Nothobranchius furzeri: one gene and its partners. The protein of the gene in region 2 purifies or fractionates together with the protein of the main gene of each other region. This does not show direct contact. Links are inferred from orthologs where the notes say so. Each region holds a gene or a part of one and is shown on either strand. Other genes may lie near its edges.

The links.
Region 1: the proteins of cdk19 (region 2) and mediator of RNA polymerase II transcription subunit 13-like purify together in Homo sapiens (affinity purification with mass spectrometry; 6 studies listed by BioGRID and IntAct, counting the BioPlex papers as one, with this or other methods). This does not show direct contact. The link is inferred for Nothobranchius furzeri from reciprocal best matches to the Homo sapiens genes CDK19 and MED13.
Region 3: the proteins of cdk19 (region 2) and mediator of RNA polymerase II transcription subunit 13-like purify together in Homo sapiens (affinity purification with mass spectrometry; 5 studies listed by BioGRID and IntAct, counting the BioPlex papers as one, with this or other methods). This does not show direct contact. The link is inferred for Nothobranchius furzeri from reciprocal best matches to the Homo sapiens genes CDK19 and MED13L.
Region 4: the proteins of cdk19 (region 2) and med7 purify together in Homo sapiens (affinity purification with mass spectrometry; 5 studies listed by BioGRID and IntAct, counting the BioPlex papers as one, with this or other methods). This does not show direct contact. The link is inferred for Nothobranchius furzeri from reciprocal best matches to the Homo sapiens genes CDK19 and MED7.
Region 5: the proteins of cdk19 (region 2) and med20 purify together in Homo sapiens (affinity purification with mass spectrometry; 5 studies listed by BioGRID and IntAct, counting the BioPlex papers as one, with this or other methods). This does not show direct contact. The link is inferred for Nothobranchius furzeri from reciprocal best matches to the Homo sapiens genes CDK19 and MED20.
Region 6: the proteins of cdk19 (region 2) and med1 purify together in Homo sapiens (affinity purification with mass spectrometry; 7 studies listed by BioGRID and IntAct, counting the BioPlex papers as one, with this or other methods). This does not show direct contact. The link is inferred for Nothobranchius furzeri from reciprocal best matches to the Homo sapiens genes CDK19 and MED1.
Region 7: the proteins of cdk19 (region 2) and med23 purify together in Homo sapiens (affinity purification with mass spectrometry; 5 studies listed by BioGRID and IntAct, counting the BioPlex papers as one, with this or other methods). This does not show direct contact. The link is inferred for Nothobranchius furzeri from reciprocal best matches to the Homo sapiens genes CDK19 and MED23.

Annotation. Positions count from the first base shown.
Region 1 is NC_091753.1:50,234,693-50,238,192, reverse strand, and holds part of mediator of RNA polymerase II transcription subunit 13-like, read left to right. Parts: intron 1-917; coding exon 918-1,607; intron 1,608-1,690; coding exon 1,691-1,904; intron 1,905-2,013; coding exon 2,014-2,044; intron 2,045-2,134; coding exon 2,135-2,256; intron 2,257-2,337; coding exon 2,338-2,413; intron 2,414-2,487; coding exon 2,488-2,684; intron 2,685-2,776; coding exon 2,777-2,967; intron 2,968-3,500. UniProt on the Homo sapiens protein: Component of the Mediator complex, a coactivator involved in the regulated transcription of nearly all RNA polymerase II-dependent genes.
Region 2 is NC_091742.1:28,536,832-28,540,331, reverse strand, and holds part of cdk19 (cyclin-dependent kinase 19), read left to right. Parts: intron 1-1,158; coding exon 1,159-1,302; intron 1,303-1,430; coding exon 1,431-1,500; intron 1,501-1,577; coding exon 1,578-1,650; intron 1,651-2,267; coding exon 2,268-2,365; intron 2,366-2,436; coding exon 2,437-2,515; intron 2,516-3,500.
Region 3 is NC_091746.1:54,183,761-54,187,260, reverse strand, and holds part of mediator of RNA polymerase II transcription subunit 13-like, read left to right. Parts: intron 1-2,914; coding exon 2,915-3,060; intron 3,061-3,500. UniProt on the Homo sapiens protein: Component of the Mediator complex, a coactivator involved in the regulated transcription of nearly all RNA polymerase II-dependent genes.
Region 4 is NC_091742.1:50,786,277-50,790,516, reverse strand, and holds med7 (mediator of RNA polymerase II transcription subunit 7), read right to left. Parts: upstream 2,801-4,240; 5' UTR 2,659-2,800; intron 1,456-2,658; 5' UTR 1,447-1,455; coding exon 682-1,446; 3' UTR 132-681; downstream 1-131. Other genes in the region: itk (tyrosine-protein kinase ITK/TSK), read left to right, coding at 4,027-4,164. UniProt on the Homo sapiens protein: Component of the Mediator complex, a coactivator involved in the regulated transcription of nearly all RNA polymerase II-dependent genes.
Region 5 is NC_091743.1:46,651,350-46,655,524, forward strand, and holds med20 (mediator of RNA polymerase II transcription subunit 20), read left to right. Parts: upstream 1-1,375; 5' UTR 1,376-1,467; coding exon 1,468-1,481; intron 1,482-1,893; coding exon 1,894-2,039; intron 2,040-3,234; coding exon 3,235-3,488; intron 3,489-3,571; coding exon 3,572-3,793; 3' UTR 3,794-3,982; downstream 3,983-4,175. Other genes in the region: bysl (bystin), read right to left, coding at 121-259, 375-531, 834-1,107. UniProt on the Homo sapiens protein: Component of the Mediator complex, a coactivator involved in the regulated transcription of nearly all RNA polymerase II-dependent genes.
Region 6 is NC_091756.1:39,221,577-39,225,670, reverse strand, and holds the start of med1 (mediator of RNA polymerase II transcription subunit 1), read left to right. Parts: upstream 1-1,294; 5' UTR 1,295-1,338; coding exon 1,339-1,459; intron 1,460-2,360; exon of another isoform or gene 2,361-2,438; intron 2,439-2,791; coding exon 2,792-2,898; intron 2,899-4,094. UniProt on the Homo sapiens protein: Component of the Mediator complex, a coactivator involved in the regulated transcription of nearly all RNA polymerase II-dependent genes.
Region 7 is NC_091742.1:26,121,528-26,125,027, forward strand, and holds part of med23 (mediator of RNA polymerase II transcription subunit 23), read left to right. Parts: intron 1-67; coding exon 68-137; intron 138-3,206; coding exon 3,207-3,319; intron 3,320-3,406; coding exon 3,407-3,500. UniProt on the Homo sapiens protein: Required for transcriptional activation subsequent to the assembly of the pre-initiation complex. Component of the Mediator complex, a coactivator involved in the regulated transcription of nearly all RNA polymerase II-dependent genes.

The DNA of each region.
Region 1 (3,500 bases), on a different chromosome or scaffold from region 2:
TGATGCCAGCGGAGCCACGTGTCCCGGCATGTCCCTGATCATCATCTCCTGACGCGCAGGGGCATCCCCAATCGTCATATATTGAGGCTTGGTCACACACGTCATATTTTGACGCCTTGGGTGTGAGAATGTGTTGGTTTAATGGTAACTGGATGGCTAATCTCACGTTCGCGACGTGGTTAGCACCGGTTCCAGGCAATAGCTAGAAATTATAGCTTAAACTTAATTTTAAAAATAGCTTAAATTTGGTCAAAGTGGCCTTAAAATAGGTCTTAAAAAGTCTTAAATTTGGCTCCCTTAAACCTGCAGATACCCTGCCATACTGGCTCGTGACTGGGAAGGCTGTTGTTGGTTTAGCATCGAAAAACGGCAGATAACGTCTCTTCTAGCAGAAGCTAACCATTAGCATTAGCAACTCAACCACATGATAGAAGCTCCTCCAGGTTTGTTTTATTTGTGGAGATAAAACATCGTCGTTGCAAAGCAAATGGAAACAGTGGTAGTCGGGTTGCTGTTGTCCAGTTTGAGACAAATTGTCCAAATATCAGGAAATGGGACTCCCAACACTTAGCATTAGCATGAAATGATTCATCATGCTGCCTCACTGCCACCTGCGACTGACTGGAAATTGGTTGTTGTTGTTGTTGTTAGCCTCAAGGGCAACATGCCGATTATCACTTGTAAGTCGCTTTGGACAAAAGTGTCTGCTAAATACATAAACATAAAAAAATACAAATTTTAAACTGTGGCAGCTCATGAGTCAATCAGTTCCCGGTAATGATGGATTCCAAAACATTTTGCAGTGATTTGACCAAAACAATCATAACTCCATCATAATAAAATCCCAGGTTAAAACTTGCTGGACTGTGTCTGTTTCTTCAAAAAGTGCCTCATAGTAATTGTTTATTTCTACTTAGGCATAAGAATCAGAAGCAGCGTTCCGGCAGCACCTCAGGACACCCACCGTCATCAGGCCAGTCGGCCCAGCCAGCCCCCAAGCACAAGCTGGGAGAGAAACTGGAGAAGGGGGAGAAGCAGCAGAGGAGGCCACAAACGCCTTTTCATCACCGCAACTCTGTGAGCGAGGAGCAGCCGCTGGAGCCACAGACCCCGCGGCTCTGCCCCAGACAGCTGGAGGAGGGCTCGTATCCCAGCCTGCACCACGTCGACACAGTGGCGCCCAAAGCACCCACGCTACACGCGCACGGTCCCCCCACAGACTTGGTAGGATCCCCGCCACCCCCTCCTCTCAGCCCACATCCATGTGAACATGCAGAAAGCGACTTAACCCCAAGAGCCATTAAGAACTCTTCCACGCCTATTCACCAAGCGATCTACCCGCCGTCAGTGGAGCCACATAAAGCCTCGTCCGAGGACCATCAGTTGGACAGCGTCCCCGTGCCTTCCTTCACCCCCACCTATAACGAAAGCTTGGAACTGACGATGTTTGTAGGTTCAGCTGTAAACCCAAATGAAGACTCCACCCACAACCCCTGGAAGTATTTCAACTTGCCCAGGAAGCCCTCCAACCTGTCGACGCCTCAGCTGCCTGTGGATAAAGCACGAGATGATTGTGGAGGAACGGAAAACGTCGTCTCTGTCACGGAGTACGTATTTGACGTGGAACGAGTGTTCCTGTTTGTTCATGACAGAACGGCCGTGCGGATGTTAAAAGTTCTCCTCTTCTCAGGTTGATGTCCGACTCCTCGCAGCCTCTGAAGGTCTCCCAGGAGCTGGTCAGGACGTACGCTCAGCGGAGACACAGCCATCTTTCTTCCACAGCAGGAGACGGAGACCACAGCGAGGAGCCAGACCCTTACGCCTTTGTGGAAGACGAGGACGACAACTTCACAGAGAAGAAGGACAAGTCTGGGACTGAGAAGGAAGGAAACAAGAAACAGAAGGTGGATTTCCGTTTTTATAATTATTACACTTCAACTTGAGTCTAGAGGGTAGTTCTGGTCCGTTTGATTTCATAAACAAAAAAATAACTTTCTTTTTTTTTTACTTTAGATGGATGAAGGAAATGGAACTTCTGCAGATGGTGAGAAACTGATCAGATTTGACATTTATTGAAATGGACTCATTGAAATTGATTGTCTTATTTGAGGTCTGCCCTATATTGTTGCTGTAGATGGTCAGGGTCCATCAGGCAGTAAACCTTCTGCCTCGACCAGCCTCATCCATGAGAATGACCTGGCCGTGTCCTACAGCGACCTGGATAAACTATTCAACTCCGATGAAGATGAGCTAGCGGTAAGCTAAGTTTGGTCAAAGCTGCACTTGTTAAAACGCTGATGAGAAAAAATTGTTGAAGATTGTTTTTGTCCTTCTCAGCCTGGACCCAGAAGAACTGAAGATGCTACAGATGTTGTCTGTAGACCCCCCCTGCCAGATCAACCGACCATCATAAGTAAGGAGCACCGGTAGCTTACATGTATTCTGACATTTACGTCATCTTTTTGTAACGCTGTGCGACTTTCCTAGGCACAGTAGACCTGCACACGATGTTTCCCACCCCGCCCTCCCTGGACCAGCAGGGATACTCCCCCATGAACTCTGGGAGCCAGAATAGTCTGGAAACAGGGGCGAGTCTCACCGTGTTGGACATCAGCCAGCTCAACACCCACTTCAGGATGGAGGTGGAGGAGGGTTACTGCAGCCCAAAGCCATGTGAACTAAAGGTGGGACATGTGATGCCATTGGCAAGAAGAGAAAAGGCACCAAAGGTTTTCTTTCTCCAGTTGAATTAATCCACTGATTTATCTGCTTTCAGGACTTCTCCTTTGTGTACAAGCCAGCAATTAGTCAGTCCATCATCGGTTCAACTATGTACGCCCCCTTAAAAACACTACCCAGCCAGTGTCTGTCACCCATCAAACTGCCAGAGGACTGCATGTACACACCGAGCTGGACCATGGGCAAAGTGGAGCTGATGACCAGCGTCAGCCTCCTCACCAAAGACAGGTAGATGTGTAATTACTGCTGATTGTTGCACAATTTGGTCCCTGATTGGGATTTTAAAGTGTTTCTGCGTGAGCTGGCCTGTCCACTGGATGTATAAGTAGCGCGCAACGTAAAAGTCGCTTTTTTCCACGAGCTCAGCGGCACGACCCTTCCCACTGGGAGTGTTTCAGATGCAAATCGCCAGCAGCTCATCCCACAAGGCCACGAAATCACAGGAAGATTGCGAGATCACGCGTGATTTCAGTAATTCACGTGATAACAAGCAAATAGAAAGACAGGCGCATGTATTGAAAAGGGTCTGTGGTCTTTTTTCAATTCTTTTAACTCGGACACTGAGGTTTCAAAGGTAGAGGCAATTTTTTAAGTAATTGGAAATCTGCAGTGTCTTTTATTTTGAAAGTTTTCAGGTGTTTTACACTGATATTGTGTTTTGCTTCCTGTCTGGTCCGATCTGAACTGCTGAGCTTGATGCGTTCTGGAAGCGTAGCGCCCGAAAATTTAACCTGGAAGAGTAAATTTAGTGTAGCAATACG
Region 2 (3,500 bases):
TACTTCAGTGTACTTCTTTTTGGTAAGGGTACCTTTGGCCAGACGTTTGTTTACTATTTATCTTGCTATAGGCTAACCTACATAGAAGAATACCAGCATGAAAGGGCACATGAAGGGGGGGGGGGGGGGTCTTTAGCCAAGACAAAAGTAGAGTGAGGCGATCAGATGAGAAACACACTTTTAAGAATATTCTTTATTTCACCAGGTGAGAGACTCATTAAGATGTCAAATCTAATTTGCAAGAGTGACCTGGTCCAGGACGACATCATGAAAACAATCCAGGAAATTACGCAAAATCACATGTTACAACCATCGGCATACTGTATTTACCATGGACAAATAATGTCCATAGGCTCAAATGATAAGTCTTTTAGAGAAAATGGGAGGTTCCCACCACCGCCATTTTGAATGTGTCACACGCCCAGACTGTCCAAAATAGGAAAAGAGGTAGAGCTGAGGGTGGGACTGTTACAACTGGAACAGGGTTGGAACAAATGAACCAATGTAGCTACTAGCTAACTTAGCTTACCCAAGAAGCTAATGGACCATTCCCATCTGTACCGGGTCGGCCCGGGCCGGGTAGCGTACGCTGTTTACATATCTGGGTGGCCTGGTATTTTTCCGGGCCAACCAAGGCTCATTCTCAGCCCTCTTCTCGAGGGGGTCTGCTTCAGGCCGACCAGGGCCAACACACCCACTGCTGACAGCAAATTCACACCTTCCATTAGAGCAAGCCTCTGATTGGTGGGTAGAATCAGCCCACATGGGCTTAAGACAAGGATGTGTGGAATCAACCGGGCCAGGCTGGGGCCGACTGGGGCTACCCGGCCCGGGCCGACCCGGTACAGATGGGAATGGCCCATAAGAAGTGGCTCTGGGGTTCGGAGCCGGCCGCTTACATAAGATCATGTTTCTCCTCGGTTGGAGATCAGCGTGAGATTAGCTGCATGCTAACTCAAGCTAGCAGAGATTTTTAAGGCACTTTTGGCTCGAGAAATGCTGTAAAAGGAACTCAAAAATCAACTCAAAGAGCAGAAACACAAATTATAGGTCCCAGAGAGTTCAGCAAGACAAAACCAGCTGATCACTGTGCGTGTGTGTGTGTGTGTGTGTGTGTGTGTGTGTGTGTGTGTGTGTGTGTGTGTGTGTGTTTGTTAGATATTTGGGCAATTGGCTGCATCTTTGCAGAGCTCCTAACATCAGAGCCCATCTTTCACTGTCGCCAGGAGGACATCAAGACCAGTAACCCCTTCCATCATGACCAGTTAGACCGAATATTCAGCGTCATGGGTTTTCCTGCAGGTCTACACACACACACACACACACACACACACACACACACACACACGAGTAATCGTGAGTACCTGTGTAAGGCTTTATTTAGAGTGTGATGTTTTTGGGAAACCAGCTCGTTGGTTTGTTTTCTGTAGATAAAGATTGGGAGGACATAAGGAAGATGCCCGAGTACCCCACCCTGCAAAAAGACTTCAGGAGGACAACGTGAGTGGACACTGGGACGTCGAACACTTTTAACTTCTTTCACTGAACGTCACACAAGGTGACTGTTCTCCTCACAGGTATGCAAACAGCAGCTTGATCAAGTACATGGAGAAGCACAAAGTCAAGCCTGACAGCAAAGTTTTTCTGTTGGTGAGTGTTTAGGATGTGGGACCGGGGTTCACTCTGTCACACACACCCTGTGGAGATCGGTTCAGGTCTGCTACACAGAACAGGATTCAGTCACAGACGCGTTAATTATGATTATTTACACGTTTAATCACAGCTTGCATTTCAAGCATAGGCCGAATATCACTGATGCACACAACAACGCACGGTGCTCAGCTAACTGAAAATGGACTCATTTGAAGAAACTGGTTTGCTTGGACTGCTGCAGTATTTGGTAAACATGTCCGCCTCTTCTCTTAACTTGTAAAAATAAAAGCAAAGCTCCTGAAAACTACGGAGCTCGTGTGGCGGACATTTTGCAGAGATCTTCTCTGATCTCTGCTGCTGCTGCCCGGTGGCACAGGAGACCACAAAAGCTGAGGTAAGCTAAACTTTTAGCATTTACGTAGCATTTGTGCAGCGCTGAAAGCACCAGACAGAATAACGTGTTGGTCTTATCAGTAGTTTATGAAAGTCAGACGAACAGCTGGGAGAACGCGTTCACAAACAGCGTGTCCTAACGTTCATACGCTCTCACGCTGAGGAAACAGTCCAACATCTGGTGGCTTGTCTCTGTACTAAAGTCTTCTTTCTCCATGCAGCTTCAGAAACTCCTCACCATGGACCCGACAAAGAGAATCACCTCAGAACAGGCATTGCAGGACCTCTACTTCCTGGAAGAGCCCCTACCAACCACAGAGTGAGCTCTCCTGAACTTGTGACATCACCCCCCCCCCCCACGCTCCTTTAACTGATCTGTTTCACCTGCAGTGTGTTTGCTGGCTGTCAGATCCCCTACCCGAAGAGAGAGTTTCTTAATGAAGACGAGCCGGAGGAGAAGACAGAAAAGGTAATCTACTTTCAGATCACATGTACGTCGTTAACCAAGGCTGGGAATCCATTAAAATAAACTAATTAATCGCAAATCTGAAAAAAAATTATCGCAATTAATTATCATTTTTTTCCTGAAAAAGCAAGCGTTAAACATGCAAGAATATACAAGAGAGGTTCATTTAGGACGTGCATAAGTTGTTGAAGTGTGTAAAGTCACTGAATCCTGTCTTTAACAGAGAAAACCTAAAATCAAATCCAGTTTCTGTTCAAAAACGTTGTTAGAAAAAGCCTATTGTCTACAGGTGGTTCAGAACGCCTGTGCTCGGCTTCTGACCAAGTCCTCCAAACACACCCACATCACCCCGCTTCTCCTCCAGCTTCACTGGCTGCCAGTCAACTTCAGGGTTCATTTCAAGATCCTGGTTCTGGTCTATAGGGCCTTACATGGACAAGCACCATCTTACATTGGTGACCTTCTTAGTCCCTACACCCCCAGCAGGTCCCTGAGGTCCAGTGACCAAAGCCTACTGGTTGTGCAGCACCAGGCTAAAGGTCAAAGGTGACAGATCATCTGCTGCTGTGGCCCCCAGACTCTGGACCTCTCTCCCCCTGAGCCTGAGATCAGTGGACTCAGTGGTCTCCTTTAAAAAGCAGCTGAAGACTCACTTGATCAAGCTGGTTTTTGTATGACCTTCTTTACCACTCTTTCTTTATTTGTGACAACCAGGGCTGGAGGACCCGTGAAAGCACCAGACACAGTAAGACGCTTTAAAGTTTTTATTTGAGAACACACAGGGGAGTGTTACCAGTCTGTAGGAAGGGCAGAAGCAGAAGGCTTGGTCAGGAGGGGAAATCCAGAGGCAGAGTCCATGTAACAGATCCAAGGTCAGGAGTCCAGAAGATCAGAAACTATGAGATAATCCAGTCAGGGAGCAGGCAGGTGGCAAGGTCGAGGTTCAGAAGCAAGGTCAGGAACTGGAGGTGTAGGCAGGGTTTTAGAA
Region 3 (3,500 bases), on a different chromosome or scaffold from region 2:
TTTCAGTCCACAGGAAGCAGTTGAAGTGGATGTGTGTACATGCTGCTCACAAGAGCTGACAAGAGTGTAAACATCCCCTAGACTGGTCCACGTGCATCTGAGGAGAGTGTGAGAAAGCTAGAAGGAAGAGGATGACTCAGAATCCTGCTACTCCGGTGGCAGATGAATCATTCAAGGTGCAGATTAAGAAGATTAATCTCCCAGATTTGAGAGAAAATGTTATCATACTTGGTGACAATCTGAGCACGGTTATCAACCCTTGGATTAACTTTCCTCTTAAAAGCAAAGATCCTTGATTTTAATATTTTTCTAAATTTTTCATCATGATTGCCATTTTTTCTCCACAGAGTTATTTTTCGTGCAAATGTGTAAAGTCTGTGACGCGTGTCAGACATTAATCAGCTCTCTGGCTGGCTATCTGGCTCACTGTTAGAGTTGTGGAGGGGTGAGAGAACTCAGGTTGTAACAAGATCCCAAAACAGAACACCCCCCCCCCCCACCCCCCACCCCACCCCACTGGCAGTAACATCCATGCACCCGAGTCTTCCTAGCTAACAGAGGTGCACCAGACTCTAAATGCAAGACACATTTAGTCACACGGTGCTCGTCCTAAAGCATAGGGAAGGAAGGCATGCCCACAGACGGCGTGTGATGTACATTAGCAGATTGATTTCACCATAAAATCATACTCAGTATCCAGCCATTAAAACTCTGATCTCATCGATATGTGTGCAGCACTTGCAGGGTGCAGCACTGAATTATTCACCACTTCTTCTGTCTCACTGCTTTTGCTCTCACTCTTTTTCTTCTACCTTTCCTTATCTTCTTAATTTCCTCTCACTCTCTCAACTTTACCATTTTGTCTACTCATGCATGCCTTCAATTCCCCATGTCTCCATCTTCCTCTCTTTCCTTTCTTCCTCTTCACAGTCTGTTCAGCTTTTTTCTCCTGTACTGTCAGCCCTTAGGCGTGTCTCAGCCATCTCTCCTCTTCATTTATTAATACCTACTCACACAGCTGTAGTCACATACACATTTCTGGCCGACGTTCTCACACTCGTCTGCTTTTGCCTGCCGACTGCACTAAAGTCCCAGAGGATGTGAGGAGCCCAGAGTGTCCACACACTCACACCCGCTTACGGTGCAGGAAAATGCCCTTTGTGAAAGGACAGGGAGCATCAATCTCCCAGCTGGGTCAGCTTGCAGCTTGATGCTTTTTTTTGTTGTGGCTCTGCTCATCCCAGACTTGCATGTGGTTGCACTTTATTCTCGTTACAATAGATCTCATGTTACAGTTGTCACTTATTAGTTATCAGGCTGTAACTGTTTACCGGGCTGCTTTATGCACAGTGTCAGGTTGACTTGATATGCATTGATTATCAGCTGCATTTAATGCAAAAAAGGCTTATGTGCAACTGATCCTAAATATATAAACAGGATCATTAACATGGGAGATAATACCTGTTCATGCATGCAGGTATGCAACATTAACCTGTCAGACCAAACTGTTACTCAGCCCATCAGTCCATGCCTGTTGGACAAACATCAGTGAGTTTAGATCACGCTTTCTGCAAAGTTCTAGCCTCAATTAAATCCTGACAACAGAGATGATGGACATCTATCTCTGCCCACATGAGCAGAGCAGACTGTTACCCTTGACTTGCAGCTGTTTCCCTGAGCCTCCACCTATATTTAGCTCTTCGTGTGAGTGGAACGATGCGCTGATGACGAGGTTGGAGGGCAGTGACATTGAAAGCATTTTCTGTTGTAGAGAGCTGCAGAGATGATGGACTATGGCCGTGTTTGATTGTGTGTGTGTGTGTGTGTGTGTGTGTGTGTGTGTGTGTGTGTGTGTGTGTGTGTGTGTGTGTGTGTGTGTGTGTGTGTGTCTAAGGATCTCTGCCTGAGTGTCAGGTTATTGCAGGCATGCATATGCATGCACCTTTAGATTGTGCAGAACAGTGTTTGAACCACCTGCTGTCATTACCTTATTTTCTCTCTGGGAGCATGAGGAATGTATATGAGGCAGAAAACTTGGCCTCCTCTCACCTTGGGGACCTTCAGCGCCATCTGGAGGCTGTCGTCGTCAAACCGGAGAAACCCCAGCATAAAGAGATGGTGTTTAGCTCTGGACACGCGTGTGGAACTGACCATTTTATTGAATTTGATGATCCATTACAGCTCAAATGGAGGTCCAACTCCCTCAGGGCAAAGGGGATATTGCATAGGCAGCAGTGTAATCACAAGACAATTACAGTACCTTCTGACTTTATTGTAATACTGATATATAAACCAAGGTATTAGGGAGGTTTATAGATTAAAAATATACATCAGTGAAGTGGTTTTCTTGGTACATGATGTCCAGCCCACCCACTGCTCCATAGACTGCAATAAAGATCCAACGATTATTCCTCCTTGATTAAAAAAAGCACAGCAATGCATGATGAACCACATGCAGGCTGCGTGTAATAAAGAAAGAGTTGCATTTGTAAACATGTAGCTGGCTTGATCAGTCATGAGGAAATGAGGATTTATACCTGCAATAAGAATCATATGTGGTAAATGGTGCAGAAGATCAATGATGTTTAGTGAATCTGAGCAGAGAAAAGCACTCATCACCTGACAGCTTCCAACCTGAAAAGATGACTTGTTTTACATTTTCAGTATGTCTGATAGCTAATCTCAAATTGTACATGATTAAAAAGTAATTGCAGTGGATTTTAATCTAAAATTGAATAATTAGTGGAGGTGATTTCATGTTTAATCAAAATGAGAAAAGATGGGAGTCTAAAGTCTTAATCCGTTTTTAAAGGTTGTATTTTTGTGTTCATTTGAGTCTTTTTTCCTCTTTCTGTCCCTTTTTCTTTGACAGAGATTTCTAATTTTCTAAATTTTGCCCATCTTTTGTCCACAGTGAGCACCTATCATGTTCTTTCTCCTTCTTCCTCCACGGGGAGAGCAATGTATGCACAAGCGTCGAGATCGCCCAGCACCAGCCTGCATACCACATCACAGAGCACCACATCCGACTCGCACAGACCTCCACCACGCCGGTGCAGGGTGAGACCACAGATCAATGAACTTTTCACTCTGCTTTGGTTTCACTAAAACCCAAAGTCATTCCCAGTGTGCATCTGACAAGCACAGATATGTGCAATTGAGGGTTTAAACATGAATTTTAAAATTATAGTGATATATTCAGACTTATGCTTAACTTTGTGTTACATCAGTGATTGTACACGCAAAAAATATATTTACTAGTATCATATTGCTAATGAAAATACACACACACACACACACACACACACACACACACACACACACACACACACACACACACACACACACACACACACACACACACACACACACACACACACACACACACACACACACACACCAGAAAAGCAAACGCAGGAAGGTTGTAGGTTTAATCACGGCCCCCGCCAGAGAATGCTTCTGTTGTGTCCTTGGGCAAGACACTTAACCCGCATTGCCAG
Region 4 (4,240 bases), about 22 Mb from region 2:
CTGCAGCTTTCACCAAAGCAAAAGGGGAGGGGGGAGGGGAGGGCTCCCAATGACGAGACGGCTCCTGTCGTTCACTTCAAAGAGCCGGCTCTTAGAACCAGTTCGTTCGCGACCGACACATCACTATTAAATAGGTTTTATTTGAATTTTTATTGGAAAAATAGTGTATGTATAAAGTATCACATGTACAGACGACTGACAGACGTAAACCTATCAAATGTCACCTTTCAATTCAGCACACCCCAACCCTAAACTTGTCTACATTGCATTACATTTTAAAAGAAGGCAGAATGACTTAATTAAATTTTACTCAGGTCTCTGATGAATCAAGCTCTTTGATATGCCGACTAGCTAAAGGATCTACGCATCTACCGCTAATGCATAATCAGCAAACCACAGCGTCAGAATTAGCAACAAATTCTTAACAAAAGCACTTTGTGTTTATGTGGAACCATATTAGATCATCGTTTTTGTGACGGCACTAAACTCCTGCTGCGGTTTCAAATAGATTTATTGAGCCCAGTGAACACAAAGATCTGTATAAGATTTAAACGCTAAGGAAATATTTACAAGTACATTTAGTTGAATTTGAAAAGAACATGTACAAATAATAGTATTTTTATCCCACACAAAGTATTTCATGCTGAGTGAAAAGTAAAAACATGCATGTGCTGTAAATCTTCATGCTATCTCATCTATTATACTACACATGGCAGCATCCTTGTCCCATGTTTTGTCTGTTTTTGAACTTGGGACATTCTTGTCCTGATCACCTGCAGCCATGCAGCTGGCGCCCGTGTCCTCTACATCCATTGGTTCGGTTTTCAGAATGGGGGCCTGTCCAGAAGAACAACCAAAACTAGATCCAGCAGACACACTCTTGGTCCCAACACACACACCGTCTGTTACATCCGACTGGGGTAAGTCATCAGGTAGAGATGCAAGGCACCCCTGGATCATCTCCACCACCCTGTCCAGATGCTTCTGGAACCTCTCTGCCGTCTCCAGTCTCTGCCTCTTCTGGACCTCCATCATGACTCTCAGTGTTTCTCTGGCTTGGTGTGGCCTGTACTCGTTTATAAGATGATGCATGTGAACAAACAAAAGCTTCATGTCCTCCAGTTTCTCTTCACGCTTTATGCTGCCAGGACTCTTGATGAGAATGTCCAACAAGTCCAGAAAGTTCACAAGAATTGACATGTTTAGTTTTTTGAGCTGCCGCTTGTGGTCAAACTGCATTGGATGGAGCCTCTCGATGCCTTGGCTCTCCAGAGGTCGAATGATAAGGTCATCACACTGGAACTGGTTGCCAAACATCATGTAGCTGTCTCTAATGGGTGGAGGCGGCTTTGGGACCAGACCCTTGCGGATATTTTCATCTGTGTACTCTTTAATGTACTGCATAGGTGGTGGAGGCAGGGCGCTGACCTGCTGTGGTTCACCCATGATGCAGACCTGAAAGTATAGAAAAAGAAAAAACATTTATTAGGAATTCCAGGCACTATTAAAGATCAAGAAATGCCTAAATGAACTTTTTTTTAGCTGATAACCTGTACAGATGAGTGTCTAATAGTGCTGTAGACATGTGCAATTATCAGTGTGGCAGTTTAGTGCAACTTATTCTAAATTTAATATTTCAGCCCAAAACCATAGTTATATCTCCATCTTCAGATTAAAACTCGGCTCCACATTCATGTAGAACCAGCTGTGGCTGATGGCTAAGCTGAAAAACATGACATTATCAGCTGATTACTACTACTACACAATACATTACAGCTACCTAATGAGCACAATAACTTATTAGGTAACAGCATATCGTGTAGAGCTCTGCATCAAAAGATATACACTATTACACATAACAGATTGTAGTAAAAGCCTGAATGCCCCTCATTTGTACAAATAAATACTGTTAAATGTAAACTGCAGTAACAAATAAAATGTTTTTATTAAGAATTTATTATTGTTTGATTTACTTTTTGAGAGTTTCGATAAAAGATTCTCAAAATCCTTGTACATAAAATATATTTAAAAATTCGACAAACGTCATTCTCCCAATAACTGCAGGATTCTATCATTAGGCTGGAGGGGCAAATTCAATAATCAGCATACACTTCCAGTAAAGTGTTAGTCTAAAATCTAAACTAATGTGTTGCAGCACCAGTCCAGCACAAAACATTCAAAGCAAAACTAGATTCTGATGGGTTTTTAAGTTGCACCTACTGCTGTTGTTGGTAGGAAAAGTAGATATGAACTTAAAATGACACGTAAATTATAGTATACACACTACTGCTCATTTTGGCGTAAAACATTTGCAATCTAGTTTGAAGTAAAATTAGGCTTTATTAGCCATAGTTAATAATTATAGGTTTAATATCTGGCTGAAACGTTGTTCTTAGGTATTTAAGTAGTCAAATTCAACTCCTAGCACGCACCTAACCATTGAACCTTTGTCTTCTGTGTTACCTTTATTTTGTTACGGACTCAATGTGTTATTGACAAACACTACAAGCAGAACTACGTTAGCGTCACCGCTGCATTTTGTACAGAAACCTAGCTAACTATAGCCACCGCTAATCCCGGTAGTTAATTGGGCACGTCAAAAATGAAGCGAACTACATAAAAGGTAAATGAGAAGGGAGTAAATGTATTCATACCCACCTTAAGAACAATCCTTTAGAAACACAACATATACTTCTAATAATAACGTTAATCAAATATCGTTGGAAAATTAGATCAGGGCTAACATAGCTTCTTCGATAAATGCAGAAAAGACCAGTCGTTTCTGTTTGATTTCTATTGGCTGAACTGTCCTCGTGATTGTTTTCCTAACGCTGATTGGGGTGCGGTCACAGAAAGAGCTCAACGCTGATTGGTAGAAATATCCGGAAGCACGGAAAAATTTGTTTTTCTTTTACTTTGTTCTTCAGAGGATCGATGGAAAAAGTACCGTTTGATGCCCAAACTGAACTGATTTTATACATGAAAAAGAAAAGTTACTAAAATATTCAGATAACTGTTGAATATTTTTGAATGAAAATACTAATTTTAAAGACATAAAAACAATAACCTGTATATTAATTCCTTCGGGTTCTCATTTTACAAACTATGTCAGTTATTGTTTGTTCTTTATGTTTATTTAGCAGACGCTTTTATCCAAAGCGACTTACAATTTATGACCTATAGGGCATGTTGTGATCTGTTTGTCCTCTTTCAGAATCTGCAGAAATCTATGAATTTTATCCTAAAATAATAATAATAAAAAAAGATGATTGTGATTTCTTATGTATGTGAAACACCTGCCACAAACAGAACGGTGTAAAAGGGTTGATATCGATATTAAAAAGAAATTGGGTTGATAATGACAAACTGAATTCTATTATTCTCTTGTGAAAAGATAGTGAGCAGCATTTTAATTCCTAATGTTCCGAACCGGTTTGCTCACGTTTATTTATTTACTCCTTGTCACCTAGATGAGTTTTGTAAATTTTTATGTGGCTTAAGTAGTTTTTACTCTTTACTTTAATCAAGAATTTAATGGACTGCATTCACTGTAAACAGTCTAAACTTCTCTGAAAAATAACAATATTTTGACGTGTAACCCCTAAATGCAAAGACACATTTAGAGAAAGAGAGATATTTCTTTATCTTAACTTTTTTCAGTGATGTTTTGTGTTTTGTTACTCATTTTATCTTCCCAATTGTTTAAAAAAGTACTACCAAAACCTGGATTTCTGCATTCACAGTCCTGCTTTGGGCTTAACTTGTTAATTCTCTATAACATTAGTGAAAGTACATGTGCAGGGTAGACATCTACAGTGTTTGTGCATCAAACAGTGTGTATTTCTGCTTGCGCAAATCATTTGTTGCCACAAGGATGTGGTTTACTGCCTGCCGCAGCTTCACGCCGGAAGCTCCACAGCATCTACGAAGTTTATCATCCACAACTTTGCCTTTTCTTCTTCTGACTCTGCGAGGCTCTGCTTGTGACAAAACCATTCGCAGACGCTCGCTGCGTTCTTCTTGACAATGTTCCCCAGGGTGATTTTGAGGGGAACCATGATCAAAAAATCCCAGCAAAAGAAAAGAACATCACCAAATAACTACAAAGAGAGGTTTTTTGTGTTGGACACTCAGGATCTGAAGTATTCGGAGTGCCGTCCGGGGGTAAGTCCACACGATTTTGTATTGAAATGTGGTTTTCTTAAAGTCACATTTTCTATGGCGTTGAATCTATGTGACA
Region 5 (4,175 bases), on a different chromosome or scaffold from region 2:
AAAAGTCTTAAATTTGGCACCCTTAAACCTGCAGATACCCTGGGAAAAGAACAAAGTAGGTGAGATCATTTTTAACAGGAGAACACATTTCAACATAACACAAACAACTGTATAACTTACCTTACCGACACCCCGGTAGACCTCGGTCACCCTAGGGTCCAGCTGGGGCATTGGAACCCCTGATACCTCAGACATCACTGTTCCCACCTCGGTTTGCTTCTCTGTGATCTTCTCCATGATAATATCAGCTAAGGTCCGCCTGTGATGGTCACAAAGAGGAAAACAGCTGAGTATACGAACATAAACTTAACCTCAAAGTGGACTTTAGCAAATTCCAACAGCTAGAATTCAAACAAAGTTGTGAGAAATCTTGCCTCATTGGAGGGTTTTTATTCATGAACATCTCAATGGCCTTCTCATCATCAGAATCAACGATGACTTCAGTATCACCCTCCACATCACCATCCCCAGCACCTGCTTCTCCCAGAACTGGCCAATCTTCATCTGAGTCAGCATCCTGGGACTCAGGGCCTAAAATAAACAGGTCAGACAACATTAGAAAATATTATTCATGCATTCAGCAAAGACTTATTTCACCTAAATAGTTCTGAGAAGATCACGCTGGGAACTATTTTTCTCTGTGATCGTCTGACATTTTGTCCACATAAAAAACATTCGTCATTAGTTTTATTTTTGCAGAGAAATAAAGGGATGTTGCATAAGTAACACCGTATAACTAATTACAAAAACACTTTCGTGGTTTCTACGCTTGATAAACCAGACTTAATTAAAAAAAATACTGCCAATTTAAGGTCCGAAACCCTCCATCATACCGAGAACAGTGACTGGTGCTTTCCTCTGCTCAGGTGCCAGGCCATACTCGGTCTGCAACTCCTCTTGTTGAATCCGGGCCTGTTGTAAGATTTTCCTTGACAGACGTTCATCCACGTAGGTGTCCTCACTTTCGACCCGGGCGTCTCGATTCTTCACCCGGCCTCGGGCTCGGATCGTGTCCGCCTGGAGGATCTGGTCGGCCAGTGGCACCGCTCCTCCTCCGCCACTCTTCTCTCCTCCACCGCCACCTTTAGCTCTTTTCACTTTCGGCATCTTTCAAGAGTGACTCAAGCTGCGACGACGCTGTCCGTGTTTTGTTTTACCATTAGAGACACAAACAACGCGGAGAAAGAATTCTGTAAACAGTCTGTATTCTACACGTGCAGATTACCGTACGGCGGAAGTGACGATATACGTAACGTCTGTGCACTGAAAAACATATATATAACATACCATTTTATATGATGTTGATTTTATATGTTTGTATGTAACATACATTTATGCAATATGATTATAAAGTTTCTTGAGTTTGTTTTTTAATTTTCTGAAACAAGGTCGTTTACGTGCACCGGAAGTGTAAATGTTAATCCGGAAGTAATTGCTTCACGAGTGTTTTTTGCAGGCGAGAAATCAATGGGTGTTACTTGGTAAGCAGATTTACTTATGTTGTAGTTAAATGCTAACTGTAATAATATTTTTGTAATATATTTTATCACGCTGTGCATATGATTTCGTTTGGCATGTGTAGCTAACTCGGTGAATGTAGCCTTTATTTGCTTCCAAACCGTTTTACACTGAATAGAATAGTGTTTATTGTCGTTGTACGGTGTACAGCGAAATTAGAGTGCCACTCTCTTTAGTGCAAAATGGAAAACTATACAAAAAATAATACAGAAATAATATAAATGTAAAATGAACAGTAATATATATATTAGTTGGGTTCAGTAAGCAGAATTTTAGCATATTGAGTAAACAGAAATAGGACATTCAAATGTTATTGCACATGATCAATTTTGAACAGGTTGCTTCACGGTGTTGTGTTGTTCTTGTGCTGTGCAGTGTTTGCCAGGTGCCCGTGGCGGAGGGGAAGAGTGTCCAACAGACAGTGGACATTCTGCATAAGAAGCTGGAGCAGCTTGGAGCTGTGAAGCAGGGCAACTTCTGTGTAGACTGTGAAACATATCAATCAACAGTAAACGCTGGCGGTAATTTTCAGCTATTAACCATATAAATATTATCATTCCTGTTGTTTAGGTGCTTTAGATGGATAGTCTTCTGCATTGCTATTAATACAACTTGCTGCAGGGGAATTTGTCATATTTCTTTGATTAAATTCTGCTTTTTGAAAATGTTCTAATAATTATGTCAAATATTTGACTTAAACTCAATTGTCCAGGATATGTGTGCCTTGTGACAAATATATTGTCAAGCTATGTAATTTTCATTTTTACTGATCTTATTTCTCTGTAAGGTTAACAAAAACAGTCATCCATTGGGTAAAAATAGCCAGATTAAAATACAGTTGGTGTGTTTTAGAAAGGTTTTCTGTAAATCTTCATTACTATGTTATGCAAGGTTAAATGAGCCACGTTTCCACTGTATCTTTCCCCAGAAGTCAGGAACATTTAAAAAGCCCCATCCACTGCAAGAATCCGCTTAAATTTGTTTAAATGGGACAGCAGTAGCTCAGGAGGTAGAGCGGGTTGTCCAGAAGGTTGCAGGTTCGATCCCGGCTCAGACCAAAGAATTCTGCTGTTGTGTCCTTGGGCAAGACACTTAACCTGCCTTGCCTGCTGGTGGTTGTCAGAGGGGCCGATGGCACCAGTGCTCAGCAGCCTCGCCTTTGTCAGTGCGCCTCAGGGCATCTGTAGTGACATCATAGCTCATTCCCACCAGCGTGTGAATGTGTGTGTGTGAGTGACTGTGTTGTGAAGTGCTTTGGGGGGATGTAGAACCCTGTGAAGGTGCTATACAAACACAGGCCATTTACATTAAGCTCCTTGAAAAATAGTTTTTATTTTTATGTTTTATAAACATCCGCAACCCGGGGTCTATAAACGTTTGATTTGGCATTTATCTTTCTAAGTTACTACTAGTCTTTTTTTTCCAGGTTTCCACCAATGAGTCCATTAGCAGAGCAGTAAATCATGATCTAATTTAGCTCAAGTGTCCTCCAGAAAAAAAGGTGTCTGCTCTCGCATCCCTCATAAGCAACATTTATATAAACAGGACATGGTATGATTCTACTACTTACTTGTGTAATTTTAAACTTAATAAGCATGCTGCTCTAATCTGTGTCCAAAAATAAAAAAATCATGCAAAGTCATTATGCAAAAATTGCATTGTTACATTTTGCTGTTCTTCATGCAATTTCTCACTTTAAGTCTGGGTTTGTTACAGGTCAGCCCTCCAAGCTCCTTTATGTAATGCACAACTCTGAATTTCCCCTGAGCTGCTTGGCTCTGTTTGAAGGAGGACCCTGTTTGGTAGCGGACACAAACTTTGACGTCCTCATGGTGAAGCTGAAGACCCATTTCCAGAATGCCAAGGGACACAAGGTGGAGTGTCGCGGTTCGAGATATCGCTACTGTGACTTCTTGATTAAAGTTGGCACGGTCACAATGAGTTCCAGTGTTCGAGGGATATCAGTGGAGGTGACAGTTTGGTATTATCAGTTAGACCAGAGGCCCATTGTTCTCTTTTTTGACAGGATTAACCCTTGATGTGTTTTCCTCAGGTGGAGTACTGTCCCTGTGTGGTTCCAGGGGACTGCTGGAACCTCATGAAGGAGTTCATGCTGTCTTTTCTTGGCAACAATGTTCCTGAGCTTCCCACTGTATTTGCTGCCAAGCCTGAGGGTCTTTTTGCACCAGCAGACTCTGTCGACACCATGACTCAGTACCTGGAGTTGTTCAACAAGCTACGGAAGTTACAAATCACAGGAAGCAATGTGCACTAATAACATTTTTTAATGATTGTATTGATGTGTGTTAAATGTGGTCCTATGGAAACCGTATGATTTGTATAGTTCTATTTTTGTAACTTCAGTTTTGTATTTGTTTACCCTGATACAGTTAAAAGGAATACAGCTACAATCTATAGATGCAAATGCTCAACACAGACAAAAATAAAGACAAAAATCTACCTATTTCTGCAAGAAGTAAAAATTCCTTACACTCGGTGGGGAAATGTTGGTGTCACAGCAGCAATCATTCACATCAGGAGCAAAGAAGAACAAAATCCTGTAACATATGCAAGAAATTCTTAAAACATTCAATCGAATAAAAAAAATCTGTGCAGATAGACGAAGTTTATAATGAGGAGTGATGGCATGAAAGGAG
Region 6 (4,094 bases), on a different chromosome or scaffold from region 2:
GTTGACGTGACAAATTTGAACTGTCCTAACACTCAGCCTGTAGGTGAAAAAACTGGAACATTTTTCCTCATGTTCACAACACTGTGTCAAACAGTTCTCAGCTGAACTTTCTCTTTTTTGTCTCATGTCTAGCTCTGCCCACTCTGCTGCCATTCTGACATGGCACTGATACACCCACCATGAAGATTAGGGAAGATTTAGGTCCAGTGCCAGCTTCACTCCCAGTGCCATACCATCCCTCAGCACAGAGAGGGAGTGGGGGGTGTCCCACTTGGCGTGGCAAGGTGAACTAGCCTCTGATTGATGGGCATGGCTTCAGCCCACTACTGTGCTCCCCAAGGCTCGTGCCTCCTTTTCCTTTCTCCCACTGCTGTCTTGGCAGCAGTGCCCAAATCCTCCTCTGTGCCAAGCAGCCAGCTAAAGCTCCTGGTGGGCACATCAATTACATAGCGGCACCTCCCCTCTTTTCTTCATGTCTATCTGTAGGTCTGTCTACTGACTCAGATCATGCCAATCTAGTCCCTCTCCATCTCCAGTGCTGTCTATTTCTTGTGTGTTTATTTAATACGCATGTTCTTAAAGTATAGCCTTGCAAATGCACCAATACACATATTCATGAACACACTCCCTGCTCTATCTCATAGGCAGGTCATAATGGTTGGTGGGAAAATCCTCCCTGGAGAGCACTCATTGCCACAGGCTCAGCTGTGCAATAGGCTCAGGTGTCTGCATGCAGTATGCGTTTGTTTTTGCAAGGCATGACTGCTTTTGTGGCTTTCATTTTTATTTTTTTAATATGCTGCTTTATATGCAGCTGTGGTAACTTTAAAAGTGGGATTTACCAATAGACAAAAAGAGATCGACAATCAAAACGTGTTACTTGAAATTTACAGTTAATAAACATAATTGTGTAACCTGTCAGTTGCTTTTGGCAAAACATGAATCATTTCCTTGCAGTAGTACGCCATCTGGAGAAATAATTAAGTCACTGTCTTAGGAGGAAGGTGCTGTTATATAGTGCTGTTCGACACAGTTTTAATGTTTTGTTTGACCAATAAAAGAAAATAACTCCTGTCAATTATAATCAGTCGAATTTCCCTGAAAGTATTATATTTTTAAAATAAATCTACATATTCGCGCAGGGACAAATGAAACGAGATTGTCAGGTGAACTATTAATAGAAACTTTTTTTTAATTACAAGAAAATTTGATTTGTAGAAGAAAACTGTAAAGACACCAGGGTTATTTACATTCTTTGTAGTGTCACACTCGCGTCCTAGAGGATGGGCGTACGGAAGCCGCCTGGGTACGCGGAGAACTCGAAGCTTTGAGAGAACAATGGCGTCGGGGCCTGGTGTCTCTCTGCAAAGTGGCAGCCCGGCCAGAGAACTTTCTATTTCGGTTCAACAAGGAGGAAATCTGCCTATCGGTGACCGGGTAAAACCCGAAGATGTAACGGGTGAGGCCTGCTTTTGTTTTAGGTGCTTTAGTTTATTTAGAGTTTTTTAAGATGCGTGAAGTGCTAGGAGAGGTGAGAGAGGCTATCTATGCTAACTGATAGCCAACGGTGTTAACTATTATTGGTGTCGTATTTTTAACATTTAGACTATTTTTGAATATGCAGACAAAATAATTAAACATATAATAATGGAATTTTTTATGAGTGATACAGTTATTTATTTTTTATTTTTATTTCTGCCTTTGTTATGTTGCTAATGGCTAGCAGGAGCTACTGTCTTATAAACTAAATGCAAACGTCAACATTAACATTAGATCAGATTGCAATAATATCTAAAATACTAAAAACAAGTTTATTTGTACCAAATTAGTATATCATTTGAAGGGATGAACGTAAGACTAGCTTTTAAAACTAAGCGAAATAATCAGTCATCCGTCATTAGCTCATTGTTACAAGTTGTAATTGACAGTTAACCACAATTCGGGCGTTTTAATGATGGGAGTATTTAATCGCTTAACAATCTCGTTATGAACTCCCCTCCTTATCCACCTTCCTATGTACTTTAAAAACGATGAAGAAAAATGTTTTACTGCAAGATAACTTTTGAATAAGTTGATAAATGATAACAGAGAACTTAGTTTTGGTGTTCTTTGTTCACAACAAATGTAAACAGCCACAGTTTAGGTGTCATAATCTGGCTGAATGTAAAATTATTATAGGGACAACTAATTTATCAACACAGTATTCACAAATAATAAGTTATCTTTTAATAATTTGTTGTAAATTATAGCACATGTTGTTACCGTTCACATCTTATTTGTAGGCTAAATACATTACAACAGACATCTTCAGCATGATTCATCTACATCTCAGACTGCATGTAAAATATCTGAATGTCTAGATTGGATCTGGTTTTCAACTGGACCAGCTAATTCATGTCCATGGCTTTTTACGGATAATGGCAACATGAGGACGTAAGGTAAATCTGGGCTTCTTTATTTTCTCATAGTTTAACAATCTCCACAGAAGAGCCACCTTGTTGTTTTTGTAATCTAAACGTTATGAAAGACTTGGTAGATCTTTGAAACTACAGATTCTGAAAACCTCAAAGAATTTTTTTTCTGAAAAAAGAAAACATTGTAATTATCTTTATATTTTTGGAAATTCACAGATAAAGGCCCCTATATATTTGCAAATTCCTAAAAGGACGAGTTTAAATGATCTGTTTGAGTGTAGTAAGGTTCCAAACTTGGGCAGAATACACGAGTAAATTTGATTTGCTTTTTAATCATCATCACAACCTGAAATATGTTTTTTTTTTGTCTTTATCAGAGGCAGAGAAGCAGAGTCGGATAGCTGCTCTCCTGGAGAGACTTCATGCCAAACATAATGCTTCACGACCATGGCAGGAGACCTCCAAAGTTGTGCGTCAGGCCATGGTGAGACAGATTCATTCTTCTATAGAAAATAAATCTAAAACATAATGTTTCTTATCACACAACCTGAACTTGACACTGACCTTCTTACTCGCCGTCCAGGGTTCCCGCGGGGTCTTAAAAAGTCTCAAAAGCATTGAATTTAGGATTTAGAAAATAATACCTTAAAAAATCTTTTAAAAGTCTTGAATTTTGACAACTGGGTCTTAAAATTTGTGCTGTATGTAAATTATCCATATTGTATTTGCATTCTAAAATTGCATTTTTCAACCACAATAGTTTTAATTAAATAACATAGTGTAAATAAAGAATGGCAGAACCAATCAAGTGGTGCTCGCTGCAGAACCACAAAGGCGGAGCTGCACCAGAAGGTGGAGCTGCACCAGAGTCAGCTCCGCCCATTCCAGAATCAGCCCCGCCCATTCTATCGGAGTCAGTCCAATTCCTTCCAGTTGTCAGACTTGATAGCATTCTGGAACCAAAGAGGGTGTTATAGCTAAAAAATGCAAGATTGAGGAGGGAGTTGAGAAGTGAATTGAACAGTTTTTGTAAAGGTTCCATATAATTAAAAATCTGACTTTTGGAACTTTTAATCTTGTTATATTGTCATTTCCTCATAAGAAACACGCCAAAGCCATTTTTGGCCTCATTCATGCATTTTCTTCCCATCTCAGCTTCAATTTGGTCTCCTCCCCCAAAGCGGGTCTGGTCTTGGTTCTCAAATCTGGATATTCTGTGAATTTTCTGACAAATTATTTCTGAAATGACTTCTACTGAGACACCGCCAGAAAAATCATACATCCCATCTACAAAGACACACCAAATAACATAATAAAATGTAACGCCACTTAATTTTTATCAGATGTGGTGGTGTAGTGGTGATGGTGTCAGGTTGACATGCAGTTTTGCGCAGGTTCGCCTCCCAGCAGTGGAAATATTCTAATATCTCTTTTCCTCATTTCTAGCTACACTTGCCAGTACTATGTTTACAACGATTTATTGGTATGCCGTTTAACATATAATGACTAATGTGTTTTTTTTATTTATTCATTCGTTTATTTAGCCAGTGTGAGTCCATCTGTGAGCAGAGTTTCAACTAAAATGCTGTTTAGGAACGACCAAATTCAAAGAACTTGTAGAGACATAAATATTTTGCTGAAAATGAACATTACAACTAAAATATGAACAAATTAAATGTT
Region 7 (3,500 bases), about 2.4 Mb from region 2:
TCTTTATTTTATTTTCCTCTCATTGCATTTTTAAAATCATATCTTAATAGTCAGTATGTTTCTGTAGCTTTTAGGCAGTTTGATCTCAGACTTCGTGGACAGTTTTAGACCTACTGCAAGAATTAACTCCATCTGTGGTAAGACACACACCCAACGTTCATATCATTTATTAGTTTTGCAATAAAAAATCCATCTACGTGAATAAATGTAATCGTAAACGGCCTTCAAACAAACACGTGTAAAAAATATGAGAAATAAAAGAAATTCAATAAGAGGAACAACGGCAAAAGACGACAGGGAAGTATAAAATATCAAACAATCTCCTAAATGGGGACTGTTGTTGTTTCAAACACTTTTTAGTTATCTGTGTTGCTTTCATTAGCTTGTTTTCCATTTCCAAAGAGTTTTGACTCATTCCGCCTCGACACTAAAGCCAACAGGATTTTTAAAGATGTAGAATTACTGGTAAATAAACTAGAATGCACGTTATTTACATTTGTCAAATACAAAATACTAAATTCTCCATTTCTGTGGTGCCATAAACATTAATATATTTTACACATGTTAAATTATTATTTATAATAAATCACTTGGTGAATAACCTTCAACCTTTTTTATCCTATTGGCTTTTTGTGTTTATGTCATTTTCTCTTTATTTTTGCCTCAACGAGAGCCGTGTGAACTCATCCCCTCCTCTAGTGCTCGTCTGAGAACGAGGCGGGGAGGTCGTGTTATTTAACAAGCTGAGGGAAGTAAAGTACAAAAATAAATCCATTAATCAAGATAAGAAAAGCGTCAGTTTGACAGTGTTTACATTGTAAAACAAAACAAACACATTCTCACTTGTTCAACCCCCATAGGAAGGTGCTGATTCAGAGCTTAAATGCGTTTTTATGTGCATGAAAATTGATCTTGTAAGTTTCAGTAAACATGATTATTGTTGTTATGTCATGCATTTAGGTTTTTTTTTTTCATTTCAAATATATTCCTGTTGTGGTTTGTTTGTTGAATTCATTATTTAATTCTTTTATTTGGCCTCATTCAGGCTAAGGTGACCAGTGAATTGTGTTTAAATAAGTGATGCACCAACATGAAATTTTTAGACCAATATCCGATATTAAGATCACTGTTTTGACCGATAACCGATATTTGCCGATACCGATATACTGACATTAATGATTCTAAAATCAGCAGATTTTGTGTAAAATGAACATTATTAAAGCTGAATTTACATTAAAATGTGCACACACCACACACACATACACTTCAGAGATGATTACAATCACTGTCACATGACTAAAGAAATACACATCACCTTCTCAACCTCTGAAACAGGCAAACAAATGGAGACAAGATGGAAAAAATATCGGTTGTTAATATCGGCCTGATTTTATTTATTGGACCGATATTTTAAAGAATGATTAACATCAGCCGATACCGATATTGATGCTAAATGCAACTTAAAAAAATTATTTAGCATGTCTGTTTTTACACAAACCAAGATCAGAAATACCTTAAAAGGCCTGATTAAGTGAACAGAAATATGCATTCATATCCATTTATTTCCCCAGTTTAGAAAATATGTAGTTTGCTTTGTCTTCAATTTAAGCAAAGTATCCTCTCTGATGTCTGGATGAGAAAATGTCTAAATTTTGTTCATTTATTGATGAAATATATACGTATACTTTTAGATTTGTATCATTATATTTTTAAGATGATGTCTAATTAGAATTAAATGAGATTATTTAATAGTGGAATGTTTTCTCCTATAGTTAGGGATGCAACAATACCACTTTTTTCCAAACCGATACGATATCTGAGTACTCACCGATACGATTACCAATACCGATACTTCTACCACACAAAAAAATGCAATGGATTGGAAAACAGATTTTATTTTCTTCTCTTCTTTCACCAGGAAAAGACTGTGAGGTAGATGAAAAGTAAAATATATGAATGGAAATCATCATAAAACTAAAATATTAGGTGAACAGAAATGACAAGTTACAGTGAAGCCATTTTCAAGCAACTGCATTGGTATCGGTTAACTTTTACCGATACCGATACTGGTAGTGGTATCCCAGTATCGTATCGGTGCATCCCTACTTATAGTGAGCTTAAGTCTCCTCCCTTTCTGGTTGGGTGATGGGTCAGAAAAAGGACTTCAAGTTAACGAGAGCTGCAGGGCTAAAAGACCTATTATCTAATCTGCTCAACTCCTGGATCGCACATATGATGTGCTTCAATTAGAAGTGATGATGTGTGCTTCGACCACGCCTGCCATGTATTCTGAGAATTATCAGCTTGTAAATGTTCATAATTAGCGTGACTACAAATCAGATATCGATACGTCGCAATAATGACGTCACCACAGAATCTCCTCTCCCCTAGCGTAGCTGCTACTCGACACATGGCCAGATTTATGGTGGTTCTTTCCTCCTGAAGGACGGATTTGAAGTTCGCTGAATTTACATCCGTCGTCCCCGTTTGTCTCCGTGTCTGGTTCGATGACGGTGATGCACGTTGGTAGTCCTGGACTTATTTTCACACAAAACCTAAAATAGCATTTACCCTCGTTCAAAAATAAGCACTTTCTTGGTATCAAAACACTTCTAGGCGACGGTGGCACAGGAGTTGAGAGCTCGCCCCGTAACCGGAAGGTTGCAGGTTCGAGCCCCGCTCAGTCTGTCGCTGATGTTGTGTCCTTGGGCAAGACGCTTAACCCACGTTGCCTGCTGGTGGTGGTCTGAGGGACCGGTGGCGCCAGTGCTCGGCAGCCTCGACTCTGTCAGTGCGCCCCAGGGCAGCTGTGGCTACATCGTAGCTCATCCCCACCAGTGTGTGAATGTGTGTGTGAATGGGTGAATGACTGGTTGTGTTGTAAAGCGCCTTGGGGGGTTCCAGGACTCTAGAAGGCGCTATATCAAATACAGGCCATTTACCATTTACCATCCATGGCACATAACAAGCGGGATCGGAAAAGAGCGTTTTTAGCCCCGTTGACTCGCATTCATTGTTTCGTTCCTCCGGGGACCGATGGTCCAGCAGTAGATAGGCGTGGCTTAAGCTCCCTATGAGAATCAGGCCTCAGTCTGATTATATTTTTCCCATTAGACCCTTATAATAAAACAATTACAAGTTTAATTTGCCATTTCTAAAATTCCTCCTATTTGATTCAGTCCTGTGCGGATGTCTGTGTCCTACAGGTCGCTGCAGCCTGTTACCTGTGGTGAATAACAGCGGCGCCATCTGTAACTCCTGGAAGTTGGACCCCACGACGCTCCGCTTCCACCTGAGAGGAATGCTGCCGTATGACAAGGTAACATTTTCAGTTCAGCTGTTATTTTTGTTATTATCATTATTAGTCCTGTCAAAACTCCCAGATGTGTGTATCTCCTGTGTGTAGGACCTGTTTGAGCCACAAACGGGGCTTCTGCGATACGTGCTGGAGCAGCCGTACTCCAGAGAGATGGTGTGCAACATGCTGGGACTCAACAAGC